Anolis sagrei: one gene and its partners. The protein of the gene in region 3 purifies or fractionates together with the protein of the main gene of each other region. This does not show direct contact. Links are inferred from orthologs where the notes say so. Each region holds a gene or a part of one and is shown on either strand. Other genes may lie near its edges. The genes, in order: FRS2, EPS8 and SOS1.

Region 1 (9,912 bases), on a different chromosome or scaffold from region 3:
CAAGTTAGAGGCTAGAAACACTACTTTTTACTGCAAATTCTAGCATTCCCCCCATCCAGCAGAAGCCATTTCTTGTCATCACAAATAAACACACACACACACAAGCACTGCTTCCACTACCTCAAATAAGTACAACATACATGTTCAAGGGGGGAAAAAGATGTTGAGAACACATTTCAATTCCTGTAGGTCTATGGTAAATATGAAAGGCTTGATGCTATACTGGAGTCATCAGTTATAGGTCATCTCTGAGTAAAGAAACATCTCCATTCCTGCTTACAAGATCAAACTGTCTTGATGTGTAAGGAGCAGTATTTATCTCCAAAGGCAGTTCATCAAATTAAATAAATCAAAGTATTGTGAAAATCACAGTGACCAAGTTATATTTTATTTGAAGAGCCTCAGAAATCCAGTTTTGAGAGATTACTGTTTAAATCATGTCTACTATTCTGATTATTTATTTATCATATTTATACCCCACCCTTCTCACCCCAAAGGGGACTCAGAGCGGCATTTACACATAGGCAATAATTCAATGCCATAAAAACAACATACAATTAAAAATAAACATGTACATTAAAACAAAAGAAATTAAAACATCTAGACATTACACCAATTGTTAAAACCACACAGTCCAAGATCATAATTCAAAGCCATTCCAGTTGTCATTGCACATATTCCTTATTCATTTATTGCATCACAATTATCCAAAGGCTTGGTCCCATAGCCACATTTTTACTTTCTTTCTAAAAGCCAGGAGGGAGGGGGCTGATCTACTCTCACTGGGGAGGGGGTTCCACAGCTGAGGGGCCACCACAGAGAAGGCCATGTCTCTCGTCTCCAACAACTGTACCAGCGAAGGAGGTGGAACTGAGAGCAGGGACTTCCCAGAAGATCTTAATCTCCAAGATGGTTCATAGAGAGGGATACATTCGAACTGTATAATGGACTGCAATATTTTGAGCCAGGCATCCTCAAACTGCAGCCCTCCAGATGTCTGGGCCTTCAACTGCCAGAATTCCAAACAATTGAACAAGCTTGTTGGAGCTTCTGGGAGTTGGAGGCCCAAACAGCTGGAGGGCCGCAGTTTGAGGATGTCTGTTTTAAGCCGTTTTATATTGATGCACAATCAACTTGAGACATGCAGGAACATAATTTACATATGTTCATGCACATCAGCTTAACTGATTTACAAAGCAGGTTCACAACTAAGCCAGTGATCACTACAATAAAAACAACACACAAGACAGCATCTGTCTTTGCTTCCACCTCCATGTTATTTATCTCAAGGACATCCATTATAAAATACAGGATGTCTCCCACCATCCCCCCCCACCAAATACACCCTTAACTACTTGTAATTCTGGAACTTTATTTATTTACTGCAATTTATTTCAAACAAAATATATAATGTATTGTCGAAGGTTTTCATGGCCAGAATCACTGGGTTGCTGTAAGTTTTTTGGGCTTGAGGATGCCTGCCATAGATACAGACAAAACATCTGGAGAGTATGCTTCTGGAACTTGGCTATACAGCCCAAAAAACTTACAGCAATCCAATATATATACTGTATCCTTAAAATAATTGAAGATGCCATTAGTAGAGAAGTGTCATTAAAGTACAAGAGAAACAAGTGAAGTTTGCAACTGTGGGTTTGTGAATAGCACACTGCTACACAGGGATGATCATTTGAACACCTTCCATAAAATTGCAATTTGTAACTGACTAAATCATTATTATAACATTTAATCTTCTGTATAAATATATGTACATAGCCACCAAATAATTACCATAGCTACTATTTGCTGTTAGAGGCTGTATACATTTTTAGGAAACAGTCTGTATAGATTGCATCAAGGAATACAAGTACGGGCAAATAATATTTGTTATTTGGTGGCTCTTCTAGTTTCTGTGCTCTGAAAGGAAAGAAGAGCCATTCCTCAATATAAATATATGTACATAGCCACCAAATAATCACCATAGCTACTATTTGCTGTTAGAGGCTGTATACACGTTTTTTGGGGAACACTCTGTATAGATTGCATCAAGGTATGCAATGTATGAGCAACATTTGTTATCTAGTGGCTCTTCCAGTTTCTGTGCTCTGAAAGAAGAGGCAGTGGACATGTGGGAAATATGTGTCTGCCTAGCTCAGCATACTATGAGTGCACATTCACTGTAGAAGTAATGCAGTTTGTTATCACTTCAACTGCTATGGCTGCATGCTATGGAATTTTGGGAGTTGTACTTCAGTGAGGCAATGGATAAAGACCTGACAAAGCTACAACAGGACACTGGGGGTCCTTCCACACAGCCCTAAATCAAGACAAAAAATCCAAAATATCTGCTTTGAAATGAGTTATATTAGGCAAGCCCCACCCTGGCAATCTTTAGGAAGAGCTTGAAAACTTGGCTGTTCCAATATGCCTTCAATGAATGAATGAATTCCCTGACCTGACCAAGTCCTGCAAATGCCCTCACAAGCACTTTACCTCCCCTAGTAGTGCAATCCAATCTCATTTATCCCCCGAATCTCCTGTCCAGGTACAATAAACTGCTGTCTCACCTAGTGTTTTTAATTTTTTTAATCCTTTGGAATTGGCCCTGCCCACTGAGATTTATCCCCGCCCCCGTCTTAAATGATGTGATTTTATTTTGTTGATGTATTATTTATAATGTACTGTTTTGTATGTTATTTTTATTTTTTCATTAATTTTATTGCTGTGTCTATTGTATACTGATGTATTGTATTGTGGGCTTGGCCTTGTGTAAGCCACCTTGAATCCCCTTGGGGAGATGGAGGCGGGTATAAATAAAGTATTTTTTATTATTATCTGGATCCACACTGCCATAAATTTTAGTTCAAAGCAGACAGTGAGGGATTTTATTCAGCTGTGTGGAAGGGTCCTGGGCCATGGCAGTTAAAGTGATGTAAAACTGTATTAATTGTACAGTGTACCTCAGACATGAGCAACCTTTGGCCCTCCAGGTGTTTCGGACTTCAACTCCCACAATTCTTAACAGCCTACTGGCTGTTAAGAATTGTGGGAGTTGAAGTCCGAAACACCTGGAGGGCCAAAGTTTGCCCATGCGTGGTGTAGACACATCCTACACCTCTATAAAGAAACAATACTTATGGCCTTTTATTTGCAGTAGAACCAGTAGGGATACAGTGGCCAAAACTTCCCTTTTTTTTGTTGGTTATAACCCCATTCTGACAACAAAAGTTGCCCTTTATTTGTTTAAAGCTGCTAAAAGGAGATCAGAGTACATAGATCAGATTGGGGTGCAGTGTAGGGGAGATGAGGATAGTTGATGCATATATCTATAGCTACCTGTATATTTAGATTTTATTTTAAGAGGACTAGATGTATGTTCCAGTGTGCCTTCCCGGAATAATGATCCCATAGCACTTTGTCCTCCAAAGCACTTTACATTTCTTTAGGTCTGCCCGTATGCCCTTCCATAAACACCACTATCACCTTTTCGTCCATGCCCCAGCATTACTTCCAATTTTAATTTTACATTTGGGCTTCCCAGTTTTTAATTGTGTGCTGTCTTATTGATAATGTTGTATATTTTATCGTCTATGGTTTTTTTTAATTTTAATTACTTGTATTGTTGTTTTATTGCTTGTATTGTTGTATTTGGGCTCGGCCTCATGTAAGCCGCACCGAGTCCCCTGGGGAGATGGTAGCGGGGTACAAATAAAGTTTGTTATTATTATTATTATTATTATTATTATATTGCATGTTGTGTCTACACTGTTTGTTTTTGATAAGGCCAATTGGCTAATCAATAAAAATTGTTGTTGTTGTTGTTGTTGTTGTTATCAAGAACTCAACTGCAGAAAAATAGGAAGCTGGCCTCGAGAGACCCCTTATACTTGCAATGGAAGCGCAAGTGTAGTTTCGGTGCTTTGAAAAGCGAAAAGCACACATACACACACGCACAGACATGGCAATATTATAGACACTTCCTGGAGGCAAAGCACCCAGCCGGACACGTCAATGACCCCTTCAGCCAAGGGAGCTGCCCAGCCCAAACCGCAGCCAGGGCGGGCATTTGTTGACAACAGCCTCCCTTCCACGACTGACGCGCGTCAACAGAGAGGCGTCTACATTTAATAAGCACCCACCCTGCCCACAAGGAAAGCCCAAGGCGTTCCTCCCGCCCGCTCTCAATCTCTCTCCTCACAACAGCAGCAGCAGCAGCAGCAGTGGCTCCCAAGCCAGGCCGAGGAGGAGGAGGAGGAGAGGCGCCCGGCCTGGGCTGTTGGCGGAAGGTTTTCTTCCCCGCTCACCTTCTCCTTCATGAGGCCCAGCCGCCCGTGGGTAGCCGGAGACTCTCCCCGCCGCGACGCCAAGCAGACCTCCGATAACCAACAGCGGCAGGGAAAGCAGGCAGGCAGGCCTCGCTCAGGACAACTTCCGAGGCCGAGGGGGCGACTCCTTCCGGGGCAAACGGAGGGAGAGGGGCGCTTCTCCTGGGCGCGCGCGCCGGGATGCTCTGACGTCGGCGAGGCTCCTCGCCTTACCCAGCGGGCGGGGGGAAGGAGGGAGGGAGGAAAGCAGGGAGGGAGGGAGGCAACCACCCACTGAGAGGGCTAGGCCACGCCCCCCCCCAGGGCACCGCCCTCCTGAGTTGCTAGGCAACGCCGAACCTAAGGGGAGGGGCCTTCGGGGAAGATTTGCAAGAGCCGAAATAAGCCCCCCTCTCCCCCCTCAAGTCATGCGTTGCCTAGCAACCCAGAAAGGTGGCACTCTGGCCTGGGAAGGAAAAACTGTAGAAGGCAAGGCAGGCCTAGGCCTAGTGGGGGAAATGGCGCCTCACCAAACTACAACTCCCAGGAGTCCATGGCAGCTAAAGTGGCGACAAACTGTAGCAATTCCATAGTGTAAATTCACCCTAAATTGGATTCTCTCACATTCAGAGGAAGGCAAAGGCAATCCACACTTTGATCAAACTTTGCCAGGAAAGCATGTGGACAATTTCAACAGAAAGGAAGAAACCATGAAAATGAACAAAATCTGGTTACCAGTATTTAAAAAAACCTCTAAAATAATAACAATAAATAAAGGCAGGGGAGCTCCAGAAAAGAAACAATCAGAGGTAACTAATTACCTCTCAACAAAGGATTCACTCAGGCAGTAAGAAGCCCAGTTAAGACATCTGCCTTTGCACTTTGCTACTCTGCTGCTGAGTATGCATGCCCAGTATGGAAAACATCACATCAGGCATGTAGCCGGAGGGGGGGCTTGAGGGGCTTAAGCCCCCCCCCCGCCCCCAAATTCTGGTACATTATTTAAACAGTTATGTTTATTCATATCATGATCTGATCACCATGCTCAATATATCCCATATGCATGGGGGTATTGGGGTAACGATACAAAAGGTTTGCTAGGGTAGATCTTCACCCCCCCCCCCCCCCCCAATCAAACTCAGCATCCCCCGAATCAAAATCCTGGCTACGGGCCTGCATCACATCAAAACAGTAGATGTGACTCTTAATGAGACATGCTGCATTATCACAGAGTGTCTGCGCCCTACACCACTGGAGAAATTACACTGTTGCACCGCTGGGAAAGTAGCAACCAATAGTGAAAGGACTAAGGCAGTGACATCTCCGGCCCATCCCTTGTTTGGGTATCAGCCAGCACACCAACAACTTAAATCAATAAATAGTTTTCTAACATCTACAGAGACACTCGCTGGAACACCTCAGCAAGCGAGAGTCCAAAAGTGGCAGGCTCAAACCCAGAACCCCAATCAATGCCTGATACCAAATGAGACTCCCTCCTGGGCACACAGAAAACTGGGCAACTTGGAAGGCGCTGAACAGACTGCGCTCTGGCACCACGAGATGCAGAGCCAACCTTAAGAAATAGGGCTACAAAGGGGAATCCACGACATGCGAGTGTGGAAAAGAGCAAGCTACAGACCACTTACTGCAATGCAACCTGAGCCCTGCCACATGCACAATGGAGGACCTTCTTATAGCCACACCAGAGGCACTCCAAGTGGCCAGCTACTGGTCAAAGGACATTTAATAGAATGCCAAGTTTGCAAACTTTGTGTTTTGTTTGTTTTTAATACAATACAACTGTTTGGTTCGCTCTTGACACAATAAATAAAATAAATAAGAAGCCACACCTTGAAAACTACTAGGCCATTAAATGCTAATCAAGGTAGTCAATTCAATCATTTACATCTCCTACAGACAAGAGTTCCTTCTCCCACCCTGGACATTTAACAGATATATAAACCCAGTTTTTCCTAGTTTCCAACAGCCCTCACAACCTCTGAGGATGCCTGCCATAGATGCAGGATAAACATCAGGAGAGAATGCTTCTGGAACATGGCCATATAGCCCAGAAAACTTACAGCAACCCAGTGATTTCGGCCATGAAAGCCTTCAACAACACATTGAACACCATTTTTGTTCCTGTGTTATAAATATAATTTCCTAATTGCTGCTATCATAAAACATGCAAGAAGCACATTTTGCTGTAGTTTTTAAATTAATATCTGATAGATTCTCAATCAATTCACCAGAGTTTCTTTCAGCCACAAAAATGAAATTTCTGAAGTATAACAACTACTTTCAAAGTAAGTATAGCACAATTAAATAGGAAATAACACTTTCAAACCAGGAACAGATTTTTTTCTCTCAAATTTTGTTACATAGGGAAGTGTAAAGGGTTTCTATGACATGAAGTCTAGTTGTGTCCGACTCTGGGGGTTGGTGCTCATCTCAATTTCTAAGCTGAAGAGCCGACGTTGTCCATAGACACCTCCAAGCATGATAGCATGGAGCGCTGTTACCTTTTTGCCAGAGCAGTACCTATTGATCGACTCACATTTGCATGTTTTTGAACTGCTAGGTTGGCAGAAGCTGGGGCTAACAGCAGGAGCTCTCTCCACTCCCCAGATTCGAACCGCCAACCTTTCGATCAATCCTCTGACACTTTTAGAACTAGGTTGCTCTATCTCTAAAAGATTACATAATTTGAATCTTTGGGTGAAAGTCAAACCAATAAATTGTATGCCCTTCTTTTATAAACATCACCTCATTAGGTCAGTTCCAAATTCAATCCATTATTTCCCTCTACTTTCCTTTGTTTGGGAAATAGCCAAGTGTAGCATCATAATATATTTAGAAACAGTTTCCGAGAAACATACCCAATATAGCACTATTAGGTGTGTTTCTTGGAAACCATTTCCCAATTCAGAACAGATTAATCAAATTGGTTTACAGATGAAACCATTTATAAATTCAGATTATATTAATACAAATGTGTTACACTGAAAGTACTGAAAGATAACATGAAGTAGACTTGTAGTATTTCCCAAAATGAAATATTCAGCAAGTTATTAACATCCAATGTGTTAAAGGAGAAATAGCAAGTCTTCCCATAATATTCTTAATAATTTTGATAGCATTGGTAGTAACATAATACTCCACTTATTTGTGCAATTTTGGAGTACAAGGTATTCGCTGTGTTATAATAAATATAATTCTGTTTTCCATTATGTTTCATAGCAATTTTATTTAATTTACACATTTAACATAAGCCTGAATCAACTATTCTCCTAGCTGATATTTTGCATGAGTTTCTGGCTTACATCCTCATCCAAACATATTTCCCCAGAAGTAAGTCCAGTGGGTAATAATCCCTCCGAAGTGAGGCATGTATCTCAGCCCCAAACAGCTCAGGATGGTTGGGGCCAGCATTAGCTTCTCTTTCTCCCAAGGCATCTCAATCTTGACCTGTCATGCCCCTATTATTCCAGTCCTTGCACTCTCACAAGGAAGAACGGCCATTGTGTAGGGCTTTTGTGATGGAGATTAGGCCGCATAGAGGACATATTTTCACCTGTGACCTCTATTGTGATAGAAAGTAGCCAGCTCAGTCCTGGAAGAAGCAGTCAACCAGCATAACTTGTTTTTATGCCGAGTGGAATATATCTGTTAAATAAATTGTCCCGTATTCTTTCCCATGTTCTCCTTTAGTTCGCTGGAGTCAGTCTCATTCCTCACCAGATCACTTCTCACAATCACTTCTTGGGCCATACTTGCGAGAGGCCCTTTTGCACATGAAAAAGAGGGCGGCTTTAAAGGAGAATAATAATTACTCTGTGCTTCTGGTCTGGACCCCACACATTTCTGACCTTTTAACCACTTTTCTCTCTGCGAGAGTTAGCCCTAGCCAAAAAAATACTCTGTTACTGCTGTCTGAGAAAAACAACCTTCCGCAGCATACTATTTCTACAGCATAAAGATTGTGACTGCTACAATATTTAAATTGTCTAGGCTTCTTCTAGACGTCTGTACTGCTATCAATCTTTTAACCATATATATAACAGACTCTCATGTAACAGGAACACAAGCAACTGGAAAATTATCCAAGAAATAATATTAAAATTGCATGTTGCATTCACAAAACTACATTTTCATCTTTGTTTGTTTTAATTTGCTTTTAATTACTATACATAGAATCATAGAATCAAAGAATCAAAGAGTTGGAAGAGACCTCATGGGCCATCCAGTCCAACCCCCTGCCAAGAAGCAGGAATATTGCATTCAAATCACCCCTGACAGATGGCCATCCAGCCTCTGCTTAAAAGCTTCCAAAGAAGGAGCCTCCACCACACTCCGGGGCAGAGAGTTCCACTGCTGAACGGCTCTCACAGTTAGGAAGTTCTTCCTAATGTTCAGATGGAATCTCCTCTCTTGTAGTTTGAAGCCATTGTTCCGCGTCCTAGTCTCCAAGGAAGCAGAAAACAAGCTTGCTCCCTCCTCCCTGTGGCTTCCTCTCACATATTTGTACATGGCTATCATATCTCCTCTCAGCCTTCTCTTCTTCAGGCTAAACATGCCCAGTTCCCTAAGCCGCTCCTCATAGGGCTTGTTCTCCAGACCCTTGATCATTTTAGTCACCCTCCTCTGGACACATTCCAGCTTGTCAATATCTCTCTTGAATTGTGGTGCCCAGAATTGGACACAATATTCCAGATGTGGTCTAACCAAAGCAGAATAGAGGGGTAGCATTACTTCCCTAGATCTAGACACTATGCTCCTATTGATGCAGGCCAAAATCCCATTGGCTTTTTTTGCCACCACATCACATTGTTGGCTCATGTTTAACTTGTTGTCCACGAGGACTCCAAGATCTTTTTCACACGTACTGCTCTCGAGCCAGGCGTCCCCCATTCTGTATCTTTGCATTTCATTTTTTCTGCCAAAGTGGAGTATCTTGCATTTGTCACTGTTGAACTTCATTTTGTTAGTTTTGGCTCATTTCTCTAATCTGTCAAGATCGTTTTGAATTCTGCTCCTGTCCTCTGGACTATTGGCTATCCCTCCCAATATACATATGACTTGTAAGCCGCTCCGAGTCCCCTTTGGGGTGAGAAGGGCGGCACATAAATGTCGCAAATAAATAAATAAATTTGCATATTGCATTCACAAAACTGTTTTTCAAAACTGGGTTACATTAAGTTTGTCTTTGTTTTAATTTCCTTTTAATTACTGTATTTCAATCTTAATATCACGTCAATTCAGGGACCTTCCACAAAGCCCTATATCCCAGAATATCTAGACAGAAAATCCCACATTCTCTGAGTGTGGACTCAGATAACCCAGTTCAAAGCAGATATTGTGGGATTTTATGCCTTGATATTTGGGATATAGGGCTGTGTGGAAGGGCCCACAGAACTTGTAGTATGGTATAGTATGGGATATAGTATAAGCCTGTTTTAATAGTAGATTGTTTAATAGTACATTAAATAGTAGGAGCCCCCTTGGCGCAGTGGGTTAAACCCCTGTGCTGGCAGGACTGAAGACTGACAGGTCGCAGGTTCGAATCCGGGGAGAGGCGGATGAGCTTCCTCTATCAGCTCCAGCTCTT
Region 2 (9,793 bases), on a different chromosome or scaffold from region 3:
AACCTTCAACAACACAATGTATAAGGATATTAGAAATGTATACCAATTAGTCCAGCATTGAAATGACGACTAGGTAGCAATAGACCAAGTTAGACAGTAAACGGAGACATGAGTGAACATTAAACATATATCATTAAAAGCAGTTGGAAATGAATTGCATTTGAAATGGCTAACGCAGATGTTTATTAAAAATGTATCATAGCCATCATAAAGTACAAATGAGTTTGCCAGTATTACAGTATCTTAGTCCGCCTCCTCTCCATATGCTAAAGCGCATAAATGTGTTTTCAAAAGTTTCTTAAAGGAGAGGAGGGTAGGGGTCGTTCCTATTTCTTTAAGGAGGGAGTTTCAGAGATGGGAAGCGATCACAAATAAGGCCCCCTCTCTCATTCCCACCAGCCGTGCTTGAGATGGGGGCCTCCTCCACTGACCACAGTGCATAAGGGAAATGTGATTGATTGAAATAGTCTGGGCCCAAACTGTTTGGGGCTTCATAGCCCGGAAGCGGACTGACAACCAGTGCAGCTGTCACAGCATGGGAGTCATCCACTCATGATATGGAGCTCCAGTTAGCTATCTAGCTGTCCATCTCTGCACTAATTGCCCACCGGAGCACCCAGTGTTTCTCAACCTGGGAGTCGGGACCCCTGGGGGGGTCACGAGTGGGTGTCAGAGGGGTCGCCAAAGACCATCAGAAAACACAGTCTTTTCTGTTGGTCATGGGGGTTCTGTGTGGGAAGCTGGGCCCAATTCTATAGTTGGTGGGTTTCAGAATGCTTTTTGATTGTAGGGAAACTAAATCCCAGCAACTACAACTCCCAAATGTCAAGGTCTACTCCCCCAAAATCCACCAGTGTTCACTTTTAGGCATATTGAGTATTCATGCCAAGTTTGGTACAGATCAATCATTGTTTGAGTCCACGGTGCTCTCTGGATGTAGGTGAACTACAATTCCAAAACTCAAGGTCAATGCCCACCAAACTGTTCCAGTATTTTCTGTTGGTCATGGGAGTTCTGTGTGCCAAGTTTGGTTCAATTCCATTGTTGATGGAATTCAGAATGCTCTTTTATTGTAGGTTAACTATAAAATCCCAGCAACTACAACTCACAAATGACAAAGCCAATCCCCCATAAACTCCACCAGTATTCAAATTTGGCCCAGTGAATGAAAATACATGCATATCAGATATTTACATTACAATTCATAACAGTAGCAAAATGACAGTTACAAAGTAGCAATGAAAATAATGTTATGGTTGGGGGTCAACACAACATGAGGATCTGTATTGAGGGGTCGCAGCATTAGGAAGAATGAGAACCACTGGTTAAATACTTGTGCTGGTAGGACTACTGATCGACAGGTTGGTGGTTCAAATCCAGATAGCGGGGTGACCTCTTGTCTCAGCTCTAGCTTCCCATTTGGGGACATGAGAGAAGCCTCCCACAGGATGGTAAAGTATCAAACATCTGGGCATCCCCGGGGCAACGTTCTTGCAGATAACCGATTCTTTCATGCCTGAAGCTACTTGCAGTCGCTCCTGACACAGGGAAAAAATGCAGCTTCTGAACTATCTTCAAAGGCAGCCCCACATAGAGAGATTGTAGTAGTCCAAATGGGGATGTGACTAAGGCCAAGTCCGGGGTCTCCCATTGAGATGTGGGGAGGCTGTTTTCTGCTATTCTAAAGACCAGGACAGGGAGCAATGGATTCACATAGCAGGTAAAAAGATTCCACTTAGGAAACAATTCATGGGGAAATTCTTACAACAAGGATCAAATTCAAGCAAGAACTTACATTTCCAGGACTATTTGACAATGAGACACAAAAAGGAACATGAGAGAATAGTGCAGTACATGTCAACATGTACTCTCTGTAGAGACACCAAGGTGTTAGTTTACAAAACTATTGTCCTCCCAACTCTGCTATATACCTGCAAAATGTACACTGTCTACAGATGTCACACTCAACTCCTGGAGGCAGGCATGTAGCCGGGGGGGGGGGGGGGGGCTTCAGCCCCCCTCCCCCGAAATTCTCATGATGGTCTGCGAAAAGGACTTACTGGTACATTATTTAAACTGTTATGTTTATTCATATCATGATCTGATCACCATGCTCAATATATCTCATATGCATGGGGGTATTGGGGTAACGATACAAAAGGTTTGCTAGGGTAGATCCTCTTTCACTCAGACTCAGCCCCCCCCCCCCCCCCCCCGAATCAAAATCCTGGCTACGGGCCTGCCTGGAGGGATTCCTTCAGTGCTGCTTCTGAAAAATTCTGCAAATCTCTTGGGAAGATAGGCAGACAAATGTCAGCGTGCTGGAAAAAGCAAGACCACCAGCATTTAAGTGATACCCTTATGCCATCAACTCTGTTGGACCGGCCAAGTGGTCCAAATTTCCAACCACCATCATTGAAGTGATGCTGCTACGCCATCAACTCCGCTGGACTGGCCACGTTGTCCAAATGCTGGATCACTGCCATCCAAAGCAGTTACTAAACTCCGAAATCAAGAAGAGGAAATATAATGTTGGTGGACAGGAAAAGAGATTTAAAGATGGGCTTAAAGCCAACCTTAAAAACTGTGGCATAGACACCGAGAACTGGGAAACCTTGGCCCTTGAGTGCTCTAACTGGAGGTCAGCTGTGACCAGCAGTGCTGCAGAATTCAAAGAGGCAGAATAGAGGGCGAAAGGGAGAAATGTTCCAAGAGGAAGGCATGAACGGGACTGCCTTCCACCTGGAAACTGATGTCCTGACTGCGGGAAAACATGCAGATCAAGAATAGGTCTCCACAGACACCTACGGACTCACCGCCAAGACACTGAACTTGGAGGACCATCATCCTCAGAAGACGAGGGATCGACTAAGTAACATGTCAACATTGGAAAGAGTGTTATACGCTCAAAGGTGGAAAGCAACAGATATACCAAGAGCTGTTTGATAGTGGAATATGTTGCCTTAGAGCAGATATGGGCAAGCTTTGGCCTTCCAGGGGGGTTGAACTTCAACTCCCACCATTCCTAACAGCCTCAGGCCCTTTCCTTTCCCCCCACAGCCGCTTAAGCGGCTGTGGGGGGAAAGGAAGGGGCCTGAGGCTGTTAGGAATGGTGGGAGTTGGAGTCCAAAACACCAGAAGGGGCAAAGTCTGCCCATAGAGTCCATAGCGTCTTTGAATCAGTCTAGATGACCATCTGTCAGGAGTGCTTCCACTGTGTGTTGCCGCCTGGCAGAAGGCTGGACTGGATGCCCTTTGGTGCCTCTTCCAACTCCTTGACTCTCCGAAAGAGAGCTCCAAGGAGGTCCTCAAAACCATTGAGGAGCAGCAGAGGAGAAGCTATGGAAACTATACCTCCTAGCCCAGAAAGCAATGGAAACCAAGGGGTACATCAAGCATCTTCCCAAACAGAAACCCAGCTGGAAAAGGAGGGAGGGAAGGCACAGGTGTGGCCGCTCAACGCTCAGGTTACAAGGTAAACGCGGAGCGAGGGAGGGAGGAAAGAAGGAAGGAAGGGGAATCGAGTCGGAAGCAGCCTTGATCCGTATAGATCCACCTTGGAGACCCCGCTTCCCTGTCTCCACAGCGAGGAGCCCCTTTCCCCCGAAGCTGCCATTTTGTCACCGCAACACCGCTCCGAGGGGGTCGATTCACACGTTACGCGCGCCTTGACACGCAAGGCAGGGCGACTCAAGGGGAAACACGGGTCTCGAGGGTCAGGAAAGGCAGTCGAGGTAGGAATCTGCCTTGATTCTTCCCTCCCAAACAGAGCAGCCTTTCCCCAGCTCGAGAAGGGTAAACACAGCCCGCACCATCATCCCAGTCTCTCTGCTTACCTGGGCTTCTTTGCCTCCTTCTTCCTTCCAAAAGCGCCCCTCGTTCAAGGGAAGAAGGGTTGCAAAGGGACGCCCCGACAGGTCCCAAGACCAGCAAAGGCGGCTAGGCGACCGTCCCAGGCAGGAGGGCCGCCTGAGGCACGGAGGAGGTCCTGGAGAAGCGGGTGGAAGGAGCAGAGCCGCCGCCAAGCCGAACAAAGTGCAGCCGGAGCGAGGCAATCCCGCGCCAGGTTCCAAAGTGCCCGCCTCTGCCTCTCGCTGGCCTCGCGTTCGGGGCTTTTCCCGCAGGCACGCGCGCCCCCTGGTGGACGAACCCAGACTCTGCTGGCCGAGCAAGGCACAGGTTGATCCAGTAGGTGGAAATCCACACCATATGTCAGTCGTTCCCAACCTTTATTATTATGATTACCAGGGACCACTTTGACCAACATTAGTACCAATAGGTTGTTGTAGGATTTTTCGGGCTGTATGGCCATGTTCCTGGCCTGTAGCGAGGGGGGGGGGGTTAGGGGTTCAACTCCCCCCCCCCCCCGAAATGTTTCAGATTTTTTAAAAAACCCAGTTTACTCATGAATTTTAACTGGTTAACCAAATCCCCATGGTAAGTCTATGAGATGCAAACAATTAAGAATCCCTCCAGAACTACAAGCACTATCTCAAGCAAATATTTATTTATTTGTTGTTGTTCATTCGTTCAGTCGTCTCTTCGTGACCTCATGGACCAGCCCACGCCAGAGCTCCCTGTCGGCCGTCACCACCCCCAGCTCCTTCAAGGTCAGTCCAGTCACTTCAAGGATGCCATCCATCCATCTTGCCCTTGGTCGGCCCCTCTTCCTTTTACCTTCCACCTTCCCCAGCATAATTGTCTTCTCCAGGCTTTGCTGTCTCCTCATGATGTGGCCAAAGCACTTCAACTTTGTCTCTAGTCTCCTTCCCTCCAGTGAGCAGTCGGGCTTTATTTCCTGGAGGATGGACTGGTTGGATCTTCTCGCAGTCCAAGGCACTCTCAGCACTTTCTTCCAACACCACAGCGCAAAAGCATCGATCTTCCTTCGCTCAGCCTTCCCTAAGGTCCAGCTCTCACATCCGTAGGTGACTACAGGGAATACCATTGCTTTGACTAGGCGGATCTTTGTTGCCAGTCTGATGTCTCTACTCTTGACTATTTTATCAAGACTGGACATTTACTTATTTATTTATTTATTATTCGAACTTATATGCTGCCACTCCCCTGGGGCTTACAAGAACAGGCTAAAATCGAACACAATTTAAAAACAATTTAAAAACAGCAGTATCAGAGATCAAAGGCCCATCGAAACACATATGTCTTACATGCCCTGCGGAAAGCTGATAAGTCCCGCAAGGCATGGACTTCAGGTGGCAGAGTATTCCAGAGTGATGGTGCCACTGCTGTAAAGGCTCTGCGTCTGGTTGCTGTTAGACGCAAGGTCTTGACACTGGGAATTTCCAATAGATCTTGGTCCTCAGAACAGAGGGATCTGTGGGGTTGGGAGGGGGTGAGGGTGAGGTGGTCCCTCAGGTACATCGGCCCCAGACCATGAAAGGCCTTAAATATTGACAATTTATTCACACTGTCATTACTAGCAGCAATAGCCGATGTAGTGAAGCAACCAAGTTGGGTGTGTGTGTGTTGAATGCTCTCATTAAAGAGGCCAGACTTGGTGGAGTTGGTTGACAGGGGCGGAGCTGCAGGCTATTGAAGGCTGCTCTGCTCCCTGCTGTACTCTTTGCTTCAGCGTGAGCTACAAGGCAGGTTTCAACCCCCCCCCCCTGAAAATTTCAAAAACCCCCCCTGAAAATTTCAACCCCTCCTGAAATTTTTTTCTGGCTACGGCCCTGCCATGTTCTAAAGGCATTTTCTCCTGACGTTTCGCCTGCATCTATGGCAAGCATCCTCAGAGGTAGTGAGATCTGTTGGAATTAGGAAAAAGCGTTCATATATCTGTGGAATGACCAGGGTGGGACAGAGGACTCTTGTCAGTTGGAGCTAGGTGTGAATGTTTCAACTGATCACCTTGATTAGCATTTGATTGCCTGGCAGTGCCTGGAGCAATCTTTTGTTGAGAGGTGATTAGGCGTCCTTGTTTGTTTCCTCTCTGTTGTTGTGCTGTTCTAATTTTAGAGGTTTTTTTTTAATACTGGTAGCCAGATTTGGTTCATTTTCATGGTTTCCTCCTTTCTGTTGAAATTGTCCACATGCTTGTGGATTTGTGGAAGAGCCCTCAGAGTCACAAACATGGTAGCCCTTTCTCTTAGCTAAGAAACCCTGGTACCTTGATCATTTCAAGCTGCAATGCTTTCAGTTTTGTCAGAACGATTTCCATGGAACCCTATGCATCCTACTCTTGAGCAGACATACCTAAGATAGTGCTTGTTGTGGACCACCTCACACTGCAATTGTAGAATAAGTGCACACAAACAGACGGGATGGTGGGATACCACAAAACTTGTGACAAGCCCCAGCTCTAAGAACTGGCTCACACAAACATCCCAGTCATTATGCTTTTTTAACTGTGATGTTCAGAACTGAACACAGTCCAAGGATAATGTAATGTAATATTTATCCAGCAGCATATTTTACTTGAACTTGGACCATCTCTGAAGCATCTGCCCAGCACTTGAACCTAGGAGTAGACTCTAGAGACCAGGGGTTGATTCCTCACTGAACCATGGAAACCTATTGGATGACCTTGAGCAAGTCACACGCTCTCAGCCCTTGAAAACCTTGTTATGAGAGTTGCCATAACTTAGAAACAACTTGAATGTACACAACAGCAACAGCAGATAGCTGCTGAACCCCAAGTGTTTTTGACCTATAGCTCCCATCATCCTTAGCTGGCATAGCCAATAATGAGAGATTATGGAAAGTGTAGTCCAAAAAGATACAGAAATCCACTGTTGCCTAAGTGACTCTAAAGACTTTACTGTACTAGTTCTCCTTGTCTCGGTCTGAGTTGTCACCAAATCCAGATGTTTCTGTCAATGTAGATGACCTGAAACTAGAGATAGAATACTCAACTGATTTATTATTAGGCAGATTAATTTGTATTAATTTCCTTAATTAGTGGCAGACCTATTTTACAGATTTGTTATGTCCCTTCAAAGTCTATTCCAATTTATCTCAAACCTATCACTAATTGTCAGGGCAAGGTTTTCTTCAGAGGTTTGCCATTGCCTTTTTCATAGGCTGAGAGTGTGACTTACCCCATGAATTTCTATGTTTGAGCAGATATTTGAACCCTTTACTCCCAGAGTCATAGTCAAATATTCCAGTTGCATCAATGGCATGCAGGGGAATCAATCTCACAGAATACATTGAGGGTTACTTCTGATTAAATACACATAAGCTTGGACTGATAGACTGTTAGACTTGATTGCATTTCCATCTTGTGCTGTTATAACAATATGCTACATATATGAACAGCTTGGAAAGTAGTTTAGCACGTAATTAAAACCAATGTACTACCTTGCACATCTCTGACCGCATCCAAATTTGGAAACCAAGTAGGACTTGGTCTTGTTCATGCTTGAAGACCCTGAGAAAATCCCAGGGACCTCCAGGAAGGGTTAGGAAGGAAGGGATGCTGCCTGAAACCTTGGAAAGCCACATTCAGTCAAAGTTGGCAATACTGGATTGAATGTACTAATGATCTGGCTGCACGTAATTCAGCCTTCTCTTCCTATGAAGATAATTATAAATTGGAAGAGATATCTGAGAAACACTTTCTATATTCCAGGAATGGGAATCTGTAGTCCTCCTGATGTTTCTGTGCAGAAACTCTCAGCTTTCTTTACCATCTGGCTGGAGCTGCTGGGAGTTGCAATCCAACAACCTCTGATGGGCTACATGATTTCCTCCTCTGTGTATCATAGAGCTGAAAGGGACCCCAAGACCACTGGGGCCCATTCCCTGTTAAATTCAGGATTTCCAGTGAAAGCATTCCTGGGAGATAGCCATCCAGTCTCTTTTTAAAAGAGAAAGTCATCCATCTAGGAAATTGGTTTGCTTTTCAAACCACTCTTAATGTCAAGATGTTCCTTCTAATCTTGTTGTTACTTGTTGTCAGGTCAGCTCCAACTCATGGCAATGCTATGAAAGAGAGTCCTCCAAAAAGCTCTAGTAATCAACTTCTCATTTCTGGTCTTTCAGGGCCCTTCCACACAGCACTATATCCCAGAATATCAAGGCAGAAAATCCCACATTATCTTAGTGTGGACTCAGATAACCCAGTTCAAAGCAGATATTGTGGAATTTTGTGCTTTGATATTCTGGAATATAGGGCTGTGTGGAAGGGCTTACAAACTCAGCGCCATGGCTTACTTGACTGAGCCAATCCACCTATAGTACATTCTTCCACTTTTACTGCTGCCTTTCACTTTGACAAGCATTGTAATATTTATAATACACATAATACAGTAGAGTCTCACATATCCAACATAAACGGGCCGGCAGAAGGTTGGATAAGAAAAAATATGGGATAATAAGGAAAACATCAAATTACATTATGATTTTACAAAACAAGCACCAAAAGATCATATTTTACAACAAATCAACAGAAAAGGCAGTTCAGTACACAGTAACATTATGTAGTAATTACTGTATTTATGAATTTAGCACCAAAACATCACAATGTGTTGAAATAGCTATGGATCCAGGCAGGAGGCAGACTGCGTTGGATAATACACAACTTTGGATGAGTGAAGGTTCGATAAGTGAGACTCTACTGTGTTATGATATAATATCATGGTATTTCATAATAGACTGGGGGCCCTTCCACATAGCTGAATAAAACCCCACATTATCTGCTTTGAACTGGAATATATGGCCGTGCGGACTCAGATAACCTAGTTCAAAGCAGATATTGTGGGATTTTCTGTCTTGACATTCTGGGTTATATGGCTTTATAGAAGGACCCTAGATTTGCTTGTTATTGCAGTGTGCCTCCAAGGGCCCTTCCACACAGCCATATAACCCAAAATATCAAGGCAGAAAATCCCACAATATCTGCTTTGAACTAGGTTATCTGAGTCCACACGGCCATATATTCCAGTTCAAAGCAGATAATATCGGATTTTATTCAGCGGTGTGGAAGAAGTCCAAGTCATTTTCAACCTATGGTGACCCAAAGACAAACCTATCACAGTGTTTTGCTGGCAAGATTTGTTCAGAAGAGGTTTGCCATCACCTTACTCTGAGACTGAAACAGTGTAACTTGCTCAAGGTCACCCATTATGTATCATGGCTTAACAGGAATTTGAACCCTGATCTCCAAAGTCATAGTCACACTCTCAAACCACTATGCCATACTAGTTCCCTGGTTTTTACTTAGAACCCATTTGCTTGACTTTATGTTGAACTGTCTTCCAGCAAGCACCAAATGGGTTGATTTTCAGCTTTCATACCCTACTGCCATCTGCCCATATAGAAAGCAAAAATGCTATACTACAAACACAGAGACACTGGGATGTGATGTGTGCAGCTAAATCGTATTTGTAGATATATCTAGTGAAATTCCTACCCTGCAAAAAATATTCAGTAGTCTGCAGGAGAATGAAGAAGGAGAGACAGGAAGAGAGATGACAATCCTGCAGCATCCATAAGCAAGTTCCAACCTGTGTTACTTTATACAATCTTGGTATATACGTATACTGCCTGGCAGTGAAATGATCATCGCTGAGGCAACAGCTGCAAGGATTAAAACCAAATCAGGAACTATAGATTACATTCTCCTGGCCATGAGGGAGGGAGGGCAGCAAATGGGAGGGATATAAGGTGTATTAAATGTGACAGGAGACTAAATAAACCTCTATAGTCAAAGGGAGACTTACACTATGGGCAATTCTTGGCATGGCAAAAGCCATTTTCAATTAACTCCTCTCATTTTATGGCCACTGAAGTGTACCCATTTGGGCTGGAATTCAAAAACACTGCTTAA
Region 3 (10,494 bases):
GTTGCACAAAGTATTAATATGTGATGTATTTAGTCACAAAAGTAAGCTGTGACTTTGTAGATATGATTTGGGTGTTTTAGTTTATTTGGATAGTTTTCTTTGTGAAACTAGCCAGTCGAACACCTGTATTTTTATATTTAAGGAAAATTCTCTAATTATTTTCTGCGCTTGGGGGAATAAAGTAAATATTTTGAATGGGGGGGATCGCAAATAGTGGTACCTTGGCATAATTATAATGTATACAATGTTAAAATAAGGATTATTTTGATTTGTTTTTGTTCTTCAGTGCCACCCATATCATGCAAAAATTAAAAAACATTCCACATTGTGGAAGTGGTTGCTATATTTTGGCGCTAGATCCAGGCATTTGCACCGAAAAGGCCACTGCACATAAATAGTACTCTTTGCAGTACTTCACAGATATTCATTCGCACTCGAATTATGATAAAGATATGCATGTTTCTCTCATTTAAGAGGTAGGTGTCCTACTTGGCAGGACAGGAGTAGCATCCCTAGCTAGTTACCAGTAGTTTCACCCATTTTGTTCTGCATAGCTGCTCTGTTAATCGTCATAGGATAACTATGCACCCTGAGATTCCATAGTGGTTTTCACATGCAGATAGCAGAATGATCCATCTGCTCTTATTTTTCTTTAAGTAGTGGGGTCTTCATTGAATAGTGGTTTTCAAGCTATATTCCAGGAAGCTCTGGAGTTCCTCACAGAGCATTCAGCTTCTCAGCAATAGTGGAAAGGGTTCCTAAAAGAAAGCATTCTTTCCCCTACTTTTTCCCTTGTCTCAAGCAGTTATTGTGGAGCAGGGAGTGTAGCATGAGATCTCACTTGATTCCTGTGGGGTGAGATTAAGACCCAAACATACATAACCCAATAACCTGTGTGAATGGTGTATTCCCTGTACCAAAAATCCCATGCAATATGCCGGGGTTTATTCAGGAAACACATTAATTTCTCTTAAGGCCAGAAGCTTAAAACCTACTGCCATATGGGAATACACCCACAGAACAACTGTTCTTCGTATGAAAATGAGTTGTCGGTTACCGCAGCAATGAATTAATTGTCTTAATTTGGCCTTTTTTCTTTTAAAAAATATTTGGCCTTACTACTGTTTTTCACATTTTCCTTTTAATGTCTTAACACCCGGCCAAAATGATTTAGTTACTACCTCACACAAACAATTTAAATGATTTATTACACATCACAGGAATTTTTAATTTTGAGCGAAAAGATTTTTGATTGTTTTCCAATGCAGTAATATGTATATGCCAAGTTTTAGCTGGGAAATGCACATATTGGCTTTTTTTGTATATGTTCTTTATACTGTGATATAAACTAAGAATAACTACATTAAAAGTGATTTATGGTCTGTATCGATGTTGTTGGTAATGCTTTTGGATATTTCCTAATGTATATAATGTAAAATAAACTTTTTTTAACATGTTTGTTGTATATCTGGATTGCCATCTGCACTCATTTTCTGAAGAAATTAAACATCTGAGGAATGGACAAAGCATCTTAACTAAAATACTGTAATGGAGCATAAAATTAGGCAGTCTCTTAAAGGTCATCTACCAAACCACTTCATAAACTTTGGGTCTTTGCTCAGTGTTGGTGTCATAAAACATTTGGCAACAATAAAGTTTCTGAATGCTACCCATTTACATGAGCCTGCTAGCAACAACATGCAGTCTTTACAGTGGACTCTGCAGAAAATGCTTCAGCTGTAGTTCATAAAAAGAAAGATCAGCCTGAAAATACTGATGTATTATCAGTAAACATTAGAGTTTTACAGTTATATGTCTAGGGTCATGTAAAAGTTTCTCAGGTAGAAAGCGGTTGTGAGTAATGGTAAAGAAATGGTGAAATATTGCGTAACACTCAAACTATCCTACAAATATGATCTGACTATTTTCCCTACAGTAATATAGAATTTCCCCTCCCACCAGTAATAAGCTCTGTTCCAGTCTTCGGCCCAGTACCAGCTATCACAGTCACTGAAGTAAATGCAGCCATACAAAGAAAGAAGCATAGAAAGGCCACTGGCCCAGATGACATACCAGCTGAAATTTGGAAAATGCTCAAAGACTGTGGTGCTACATTTCTAGCATCACTATTTTTTAATTTTTATTGTTTTATAGTGTACACAAGAAGCAAAGCAGACAACAGAAAAACAAAAAAGGGAAAAAAGAGAAAAGAAAAAAAGATCTACAAAAGAGCAAGCAAGTTTACACAAAGGTATATAGTCAGCGCTCATTAAACTTATGAAAAATCAAATTGGACTATGAAGTCACATAGCTGTTGCACCAATGGATAAAGCTACTATACAATGATACAAGTATGGTCAGCTGCCCTGCAGAGATTTCACCACCCTTCAACATCACTGTTGGCGTGCTTCAAGGATCAGCACTCTCAACATTACTATTCAGACTCTGCATGGACTAGGCAGACTATGTGTCCCTGGACTCTCATATATGCAGATGACCTAGCACTTGGTCATTGAAAACGTGCAGCCTTTGTTTCTAGCGCCCATTTTTTGCTTGATATTCAGGCAGTGCTTCTTGTAGGTCAGAGCACAGTCCAGAGTGACTCCCAGGTATTTCGGTGCGCTGCAGTGCTCCAGTGGGATTCCTTCCCAGGTAATAATCCTCAGAGCTCGGGATGCTTGTCTGTTCTTAAGGTGAAAGGCACATGTCTGTGTTTTAGATGGATTAGAATCAGCTGGTTTTCCCTGTAGTAGGCGGTAAGGGTACTTGTGCTATGAGCTTCTGTTCAACCATCTCAAAGCTCCCTACTTGAGCGGTAATGACATAATCATCGTCCTTAAGATTTTTTTTTTGTCAGGAGTGACTTGAGAAACAGCAAGTTGCTTCTGGTGTGAGAGAATTGGCCGTCTGCAAGGACGTTGCCCAGGGAACGCCCAAATGTTTTGATGTTTTATCATCCTTGTGGGAGGCTTCTCTCATGTCCCCGCATGAGGAGCTGGAGCTGGTAGAGGGAACTCATCCGCACTCTCCCCGGATTCGAACCTACGACCTGTTGATCTTCAGTCCTGCTGGTGCAGGGGTTTAACCCACTGTGCCACCCAGGGCTCGTTGTCCTTAAGATAAAACTCAGGGTTAAATAGGCCTGAAACCAGGTTCTTGTGGGTTTTTTCGGGCTATATGGCCATGTTCTAGAGGCATTTTCCCCTGACGTTTCGCCTGCATCTATGGCAAGCATCCTCAGAGGTAGTGAGGTCTGTTGGAATTAGGAAAATGGGTTTATATATCTGTGGAATGTCCAGGGTGGGGCAAAGAACTCTTGTCTGCTGGAGCTAGGTGTGAATGTTTCAACTGTCCACCTTCATTAGCATTAGAAGGCCTGGCTGAGCCTGGGGGAATCTTTTGTTGAAAGGTGTTAAGATGTGCCTGGTTGTTTCCTCTCTGCTGTTTTGCTGTTGTAATTTTTGAGTTTTTTAATACTGGTAGCCAGATTTTGTTCATTTTCATGGTCTCCTCCTTTCTGTTGAAATTGTCCACATGCTTGTGGATTTCAAAGGCTTCTCTGTGTAGTCTGACATGATGGTTGTTGGTGTGGTCCAGCATTTCTGTGTTCTCAAATAATATGCTGTGTCCAGGTTGGTTCATCAGGTGCTCTTCTATGGCTGACTTCTCTGGTTGAAGTAGTCTGCAGTGCCTTTCATGTTCCTTATTTATTTATTTACTTTGCTTATATACCGCTGTTCTCAGCCCGGAGGCGACTCACAGCGGTTCACACACAGTAAAAACAGCAATAATTCAATGCAACACGTAACAATAGACCACTTAACACATTATCCACTAATAAACAATAAGCAATTATAATAACAGTTATTACAATAACCAAACCCAATCGTCTCATCGTCAAAGCCTAGTCCAGGTTCATTGTCCATTGTTCCATTCCTATGTTCAATTACCAAATATTGCACTAGATTACTCGAACGCCTGCACAAACATCCAGGTCTTAAACTTTTTTTGGAATGCCATGAGGGATGGTGCCAGCCTAATGTCCGTAGGAAGGGTGTTCCACAGCCGAGGGGCCACCACCGAGAAGGCCCTATCTCTCGTCCCCGCCAACCGTGCTTGAGAAGCCGGCGGGATCGAGAGCAGGGCCTCCCCGGAAGATCTCAAAGTTCTGGTGGGTTCATAGGAGGAGATGCGTTTGGACAGGATTTGGGCCGGAACCGTTTAGGGCTTTATAGGCCAACGCCAACACCTTTAATTGAGCCCAGTAGCAGATCGGCAGCCAGTGGAGCTGTCGCAACAGGGGGGTTGTATGCTCCCTGCGCTCCGCTCCTGTTAGAATCATGGCTGCCGCACATTGGACTAATTGAAGCTTCCGGGCCGTCTTCAAGGGCAGCCCCACGTAGAGAGCGTTGCAGTAGTGTAGGCGGGATGTAACCAGAGCGTGGACTACCGTGGCCAAGTCAGACTTCCCAAGGTACGGGCGCAGCTGGCGCACAAGTTTTAGCTGTGCAAATGCTCCCCTGGTCACCGCTGAAACCTGGGGTTCCAGGCTCAGCGATGAGTCCAGGGTCACACCCAAGCTGCGAACCTGCGCCTTCAAGGGGAGTGCGACCCCATCCAGCACAGGCTGTAACCCTATGCCCTGTTCGGCCTCGTGTTTGGGCAATGCTGCGTTTGGTGGTCCCTATGTAGACTTGTCCACAGCTGCATGGTATACGGTAGACTCCTGCAGAGGTGAGAGGATCCCTCTTGTCCTTTGCTGAATGGAGCATTTGTTGGATTGGCCTGAAAACGCATCTCCACCTATGAACCGATGCGGACATTAAGATCGCTCTCGGTCCCGCCTGCGTCACAGGCACGGTTGGCGGGGACGAGGGACAGGGCCTTCTCGGTGGTGGCCCCTCGGCTATGGAATGCCCTACCTGTAGACATCAGACGCTGCTGGCGTTCCGGAGGAAGGTTAAGACTTGGCTCTACGAGCAAGCGTTTGGCTAAACAGTGCAACTGAACACAGGAAGACGGTAAAATTGAACATAGGAATGGCACAAGGATTATGAGAATTGATTTTGTTCTGTTATCGAGGCGTCATGAATTGATAATAATTGTTGATTTTGTTGTTGTGTATGATGTGTTTTTAACTGTTTATTGTTGTGATAACCTGCATTGTGTAAACCGCATTGAGTCGCCTAATTAGGCTGAAAAATGTAGAAATAAAGCAAATAAATAAATAAATAAAACCAATTTGTTGAAAAGGCCTGAAACCCTTTCAGTATTGAAATGACTAATAAAAAAAATACTTGAGTCCTCCAGGCCGCAGGTGGCGCTGTGATCAGAAGGGGTAGGTGGCGGTATGACAAGAGGTGCTCTGCTTTGCTGTCTTCCCTCCACCACCGATCATGAAAACACTTCGGCGTTCGACTAGCAAGCCTGGAAGTGGCGAGGGGAGGGGGAGCAAGGTTGTGGAAGGAAGCTCGAGGGCTCGGCTCTCGACTCGCACGCCTGGACGGCGCGGAAAAGGGAAGAAGCGAGGCCAGGACTGGAGCGAGAGGGGGGCGGAGCCAGAGGAGGAGGAGGGGAGGGGGAGCGCGCCGCGACTGCGCATGCCCGGTCGGCCTTTGTGCCCACTGCGCACGCGCCGGAGGTTGCAACCGTCAGGGACGGCAAGGGAAGCGCCCCCGAGAGTTCGAAGCCCTCTTTGGCTCCCTCCCTCAGCCACCGTTGCTTTGCGGCCTGCACTTCCGCTTCCTTCCTGTCAGGGCCGAGGAGAAGCAGAAGGAGAAGGATGCCGGAGAGCCCGGGGTCTGCGTGAGGCGAGGCCGGGAAGGGAGGGATGTCGCCGGCGCCGGGCCTCCACGCCGGGTCCTGGCCCCAGCCTCAGCCTCAGCGGCGCCCTCCGCCTCGGCCCTGCGCAGGTTCGGCCCGGGCCCAGCGACAGGGACAGGCCCCACCAGGCCGGGCTGGGCCCCAGCACTGACTCCGCCGCTTCCCCGACGCCGAGGGCCCGGGACGGGGCGGGCAGGATGCAGGCGCCGCCGCTGCAGTACGACTTCTTCAGCGAGGAGAACGCGCCCAAGTGGCGGGGCCTGCTGGTGCCCGCCTTGAAGAAGGTGAGTCCCGTGTTTCCAAGGAGGAGAAGCAGGGCATCTTCTCATGTTTATTTATATCCCGCTTTGTGTCTCCCTAGGGAGACTCAAAAGCGGTTCGCAACTCAAGCGTGGCAATACAACCTCAAATATACACGTATTAAACGTCATTGAAAGCAGGTCAGATCACTGACTAGATCTCCAAAACGGAGATCATGAAACAAAGCTAGAAGTTTGTTGTTTAACTTCAACTCTGGCCCCTTCCACACAGCTAAACAAAAACCTATAATAATAATACAACGACGGATTCTCCCCTATGAACCATCAAGGTTGTTAAAGATCTGGAGGGGCCCTGCTCTCGGTCCCACCTCCTTTACAATCGCGTCTGGTGGGGATGAGGGACAGGGCCTTCTCGGTGGTGGCCCCTCAGCTCTGGAACTCATCTTCTGATGTTTATTTATATCCCGCTTTGTCTCTCCATAGGAGACTCAAAAGCGGTTCGCAACTAAAGCGTGGCAATACAACTTCAAATATACATGTATTAAACGTCATTGAAAGCAGGTCAGATCAGTGACTAGATCTCCAAAACGGAGATCATGAAACAAAGCTAGAAGTTTGTTGTTTACCTTCAACTCTGGCCCCTTCCACACAGCTGAACAAAAACCTATAATTAATTAATTAATTAATTAATTTTACTTCTATACCACTGTTCTCAGCCCGGGGGCGACTCACAGTGGTGTACAACATAGGAACAGCAAAATTCACGACACAGTATAAAAACAATTCACAATCCAGCATTATACAAAAACATCATTACTACGAAAACCATTCAGCGTCGTCTCATCGTCCAAACCACAATCCAATATAATTTCCCGTTGTTCCGTTCCTGTAGTCATTACCAACCATTGCACTTCTTATTCGAATGCCTTCTTGAACAACCAAGTCTTTAATTTCCTGCGGAATATCATCAGGGAAGGTGCCAGTCTAATGTCCACGGGAAGGGTGTTCCACAGCCAAGGAGCCACCACCGAGAAGGCCCTATCTCTCGTCCCCGCCAGCCGTGCTTGTGAAGCAGGCGGGATCAAGAGCAGGGCCTCTCCGGAAGATCTCAAAGTCCTGGTGGGCTCATAGGTCGAGATGCGGTTGGATAGGTATCTTGGGCCGGAACCAGTTTTGTATACTGGTCTTCTTCTCACCTCCGTTCGAGGGACTCAGGCCGGTTTCCAACATCAATATTACAGACAGTCATTAAAACATCATATTCTAAATCACACTAAAACATTAAAATAGCAAAATACAATCATATAATTGCAGTGGTCAGTCATCATCAAAAATCATTATTCATCGTCACCCATCCATGTCACAGGATCATGGCTCATTCGTCGAATGCCAATCCCCAAAGCCAAATTTTCACCTGTTTCCTGAACGTTAAGATAGAAGGGGCAGTTCTGATCTCCAGTGGAAGGGAGTTCTAGAGTCAAGGGGCCACCATCAAGAAGGCCTGGTCTCTCGTCCCCACCAGCCGCGCCTGTGAGGCCAGTGGGATCAAGAGCAGGGCCCCTCCAGACGATCTTAGCAATCTTGATGGTTCATAGGGGAGGATACGTTCGGACAGGTAAATTGGGCTGGAGTCGTTTCGTATTATTATTGTTATTATTATTATTATAACAACAACAACAATAACAACGGATTCTCACCTATGAACAACAACAGATTCTCCCCTATGAACCATCAAGGTTGTTAAGATCTTCTGGAGGGGCCCTGCTCTCGGTCCCACCTCCTTCGCAATCGCGTCTGGTGGGGACGAGGGGCACGGCCTTCTCGGTGGTGGCCCCTCGGCTCTGGAACTCTCTCCCGTTGGAGATTAGATCTGCCCCTTCCCTCCTGACTTTCAGAAAGCTGGTAAAATCTTGGCTTTGGAATATAGCATTTGCAGAATGATGATTGAGTCAATAACGGCTGACCATACTGGCAGATGGTGATGAATTTGTGATTTTACTCTGACGACCTGGATTTGTAATTGTATGATCTGTATTTTAATGTATTTTTGTATTAATGTATTATGATGCTATTATGTTTATTCTATGTGTGTATGAATTTTCTGCTGTTAGCCGGCCTGAGTCCCTCTTCAGAGGTCGAGAAAACCAGGTTATAAAAGCTCTAAATAAATAAAGAAACTTTATTTTTGTGCCCCACCTCCATCTCCCTGAAGGAGCTTATGGTGGCTTACATATGGCACAATGTGCCTAAAGCAACGCATTAAACATACCATAGTCAGTTGTTCAGCAATTTTAAAAACTTGACATTATACAAAATTTCCTTTGACCAGAAGTTGGCCATGTTGGGTGCCGCTTTTATTTATTTGGTTTTTTATTATTACAACACTTTTATGCCGCCCTTCTCACCCCAAAGGGAACTCAGAGCGGCTTACAAGATATATATATATATATAATATATTATATTATTAGCATAGCACAATATCTGTATTATATATTACTATATTTATTTTATTTATTTTATTTTATTGACATCATTTTACCCCCACTCTTCTCACCCCCATAGGGGGACTCAGAGCGGCTCACAATGGCAATGATTCGATGCAAGATATATACATACAATATATTATATTATTGGCATAGCACAATATCAGTATTATATATTACTATATTTATTTTATTTTATTTACATCATTTTTACCTCCGCTCTTCTCACCCCCGCAGAGGGACTCGGCACGGCTCACAATGGCAACGATTCGATGCCTCAATGCTTACAATTATAAAAGCAGAATAAAATCATACCATTAAAACAGCATTAATTATCAATCATAAAGGCATTTCCATTTTAACAATCGTCGTCTGGTCCAATTCCATGTTCAGGTGCTGTTATATCCATTAGCCAAAAGCCTGGTTCCACAACCATGTCTTCAGTTTTCTTCTGAAAGAAAGGAGGGAGGGCGCTGATCTAATTTTGCTGGGGAGCGAATTCCACAGGCGGAGGGTCAGCACCGAGAAGGCCCTGTCCCTCGTCCCCACCAGTAGCGTTTGCAAAGTTGATGGGACCAAGAGCAGGGCCTCCCCGGCAGATCTAAAATATTGTACTATACCATTATATTATAATATTATTAATAATATTACATCTAATATAAAATATATAATTATAATATTGTGTTAGTAATATTATATTGTATTACATTACATTATATATATATGTATATGTATATGAATATATTATATTATATTATTAGTATAGCACAGGAGACAAGGTGGAACTGCTTTCCTGGCCCCCTCTCTCTTCACTCTGGCTCAGAGAAGCAGTTGGTGCTGAGGGGAAGGGGTTCCAGCTGATTTATACAAATATTAAAACTGTATTAAACATCATCAATATTCAAAACAATTCAGGTTGAAACTATAAAAGCACACAGAACCACAGCACCCCCAGGCCAGATCATAAAACAAAGCTAGAAGTTTGTTATTTGCCTTCAACTCTGGCTCCTTCCACATCAGAATAAAAACCCACAATAGTAGTAGTAGTAGTAGTAATAATAATAATAAAGTCAACCCTATGTAGAGCACATTGCAGTAGTCTATACGGGATGTAACTGTCTCCCATCTATGTGAAGCCGCTGGGAGACATCATCTGGAGTTTTGGAGTTCAGTGTCACTTGTACGCAGACGATGTTCAACTCCATCACTCCTTCCCACTTGCTACCAAAGAGGCTGTTCAGGTCCTGAACCAGTGCTTCTCAGCTGTGATGGTCTGGATGAGGGTGAACAAATTGAAATTGAATTCAGACAAGACAGAGGTATTCGTGGTCAGTCATAAGACCAAACAGGGCATAGGGTTATTATATTGTGTCGGCATCAAATAATTGCCTGTTGGAAGCCATCCTGAGCCCCTCTTTGGAGGTTGAGAAGGACAGGGTATCAGTGTTTTAAATAAATAAATAAAAGCACACAGAACCACATCACCCCCTGACCAGATCTCAAACACCTTCATCTTTAAAAGCCTGCTTGAATAAAAAGGTTTTAGCCTGCCACTGGAAGGACAGCAGGGAGGATGTCATTTTGGCCTCCCTGGGCAGGGAGTTGCAGAGTCAAGGGGCAGCCACTAAGAAGGAAGGACTACTCTCTCATTCCAATCAATTGAGCTTGAGATGGAGGTGGAACCAAGAGAAGGATGGGCCTCTTCTGAAGATCTCAGGGCCCAGGCAGGTTCGTACAAGGGGATGTGGTCAGCCAAATAGCCTGTACCTGAATATCTGGGGCTTAAAAGGTCATAATCAGCACTTTGAATTGTGCCCAGAAACAGACTGGCAGCCAGTGGAGCTGCTGCAACAGGGGGGTTGTCATCTCCTTGTAGCCAGCCCCAGTGAGCAACTTGGCTGCAGCTCTTTGGACCAGCTCTTCAGAGG

The links.
Region 1: the proteins of SOS1 (region 3) and FRS2 purify together in Homo sapiens (affinity purification with western blotting; 5 studies listed by BioGRID). This does not show direct contact. The link is inferred for Anolis sagrei from reciprocal best matches to the Homo sapiens genes SOS1 and FRS2.
Region 2: the proteins of SOS1 (region 3) and EPS8 purify together in Homo sapiens (affinity purification with western blotting; 5 studies listed by BioGRID and IntAct, with this or other methods). This does not show direct contact. The link is inferred for Anolis sagrei from reciprocal best matches to the Homo sapiens genes SOS1 and EPS8.

Annotation. Positions count from the first base shown.
Region 1 is NC_090025.1:143,298,865-143,308,776, reverse strand, and holds the start of FRS2 (fibroblast growth factor receptor substrate 2), read right to left. Parts: upstream 4,516-9,912; 5' UTR 4,305-4,515; intron 1-4,304. UniProt on the Homo sapiens protein: Adapter protein that links activated FGR and NGF receptors to downstream signaling pathways.
Region 2 is NC_090025.1:181,602,940-181,612,732, forward strand, and holds the start of EPS8 (epidermal growth factor receptor kinase substrate 8), read right to left. Parts: upstream 4,076-9,793; 5' UTR 3,837-4,075; intron 1-3,836. UniProt on the Homo sapiens protein: Signaling adapter that controls various cellular protrusions by regulating actin cytoskeleton dynamics and architecture. Depending on its association with other signal transducers, can regulate different processes.
Region 3 is NC_090021.1:22,280,517-22,291,010, reverse strand, and holds the start of SOS1 (son of sevenless homolog 1), read left to right. Parts: upstream 1-5,603; 5' UTR 5,604-6,020; coding exon 6,021-6,107; intron 6,108-10,494.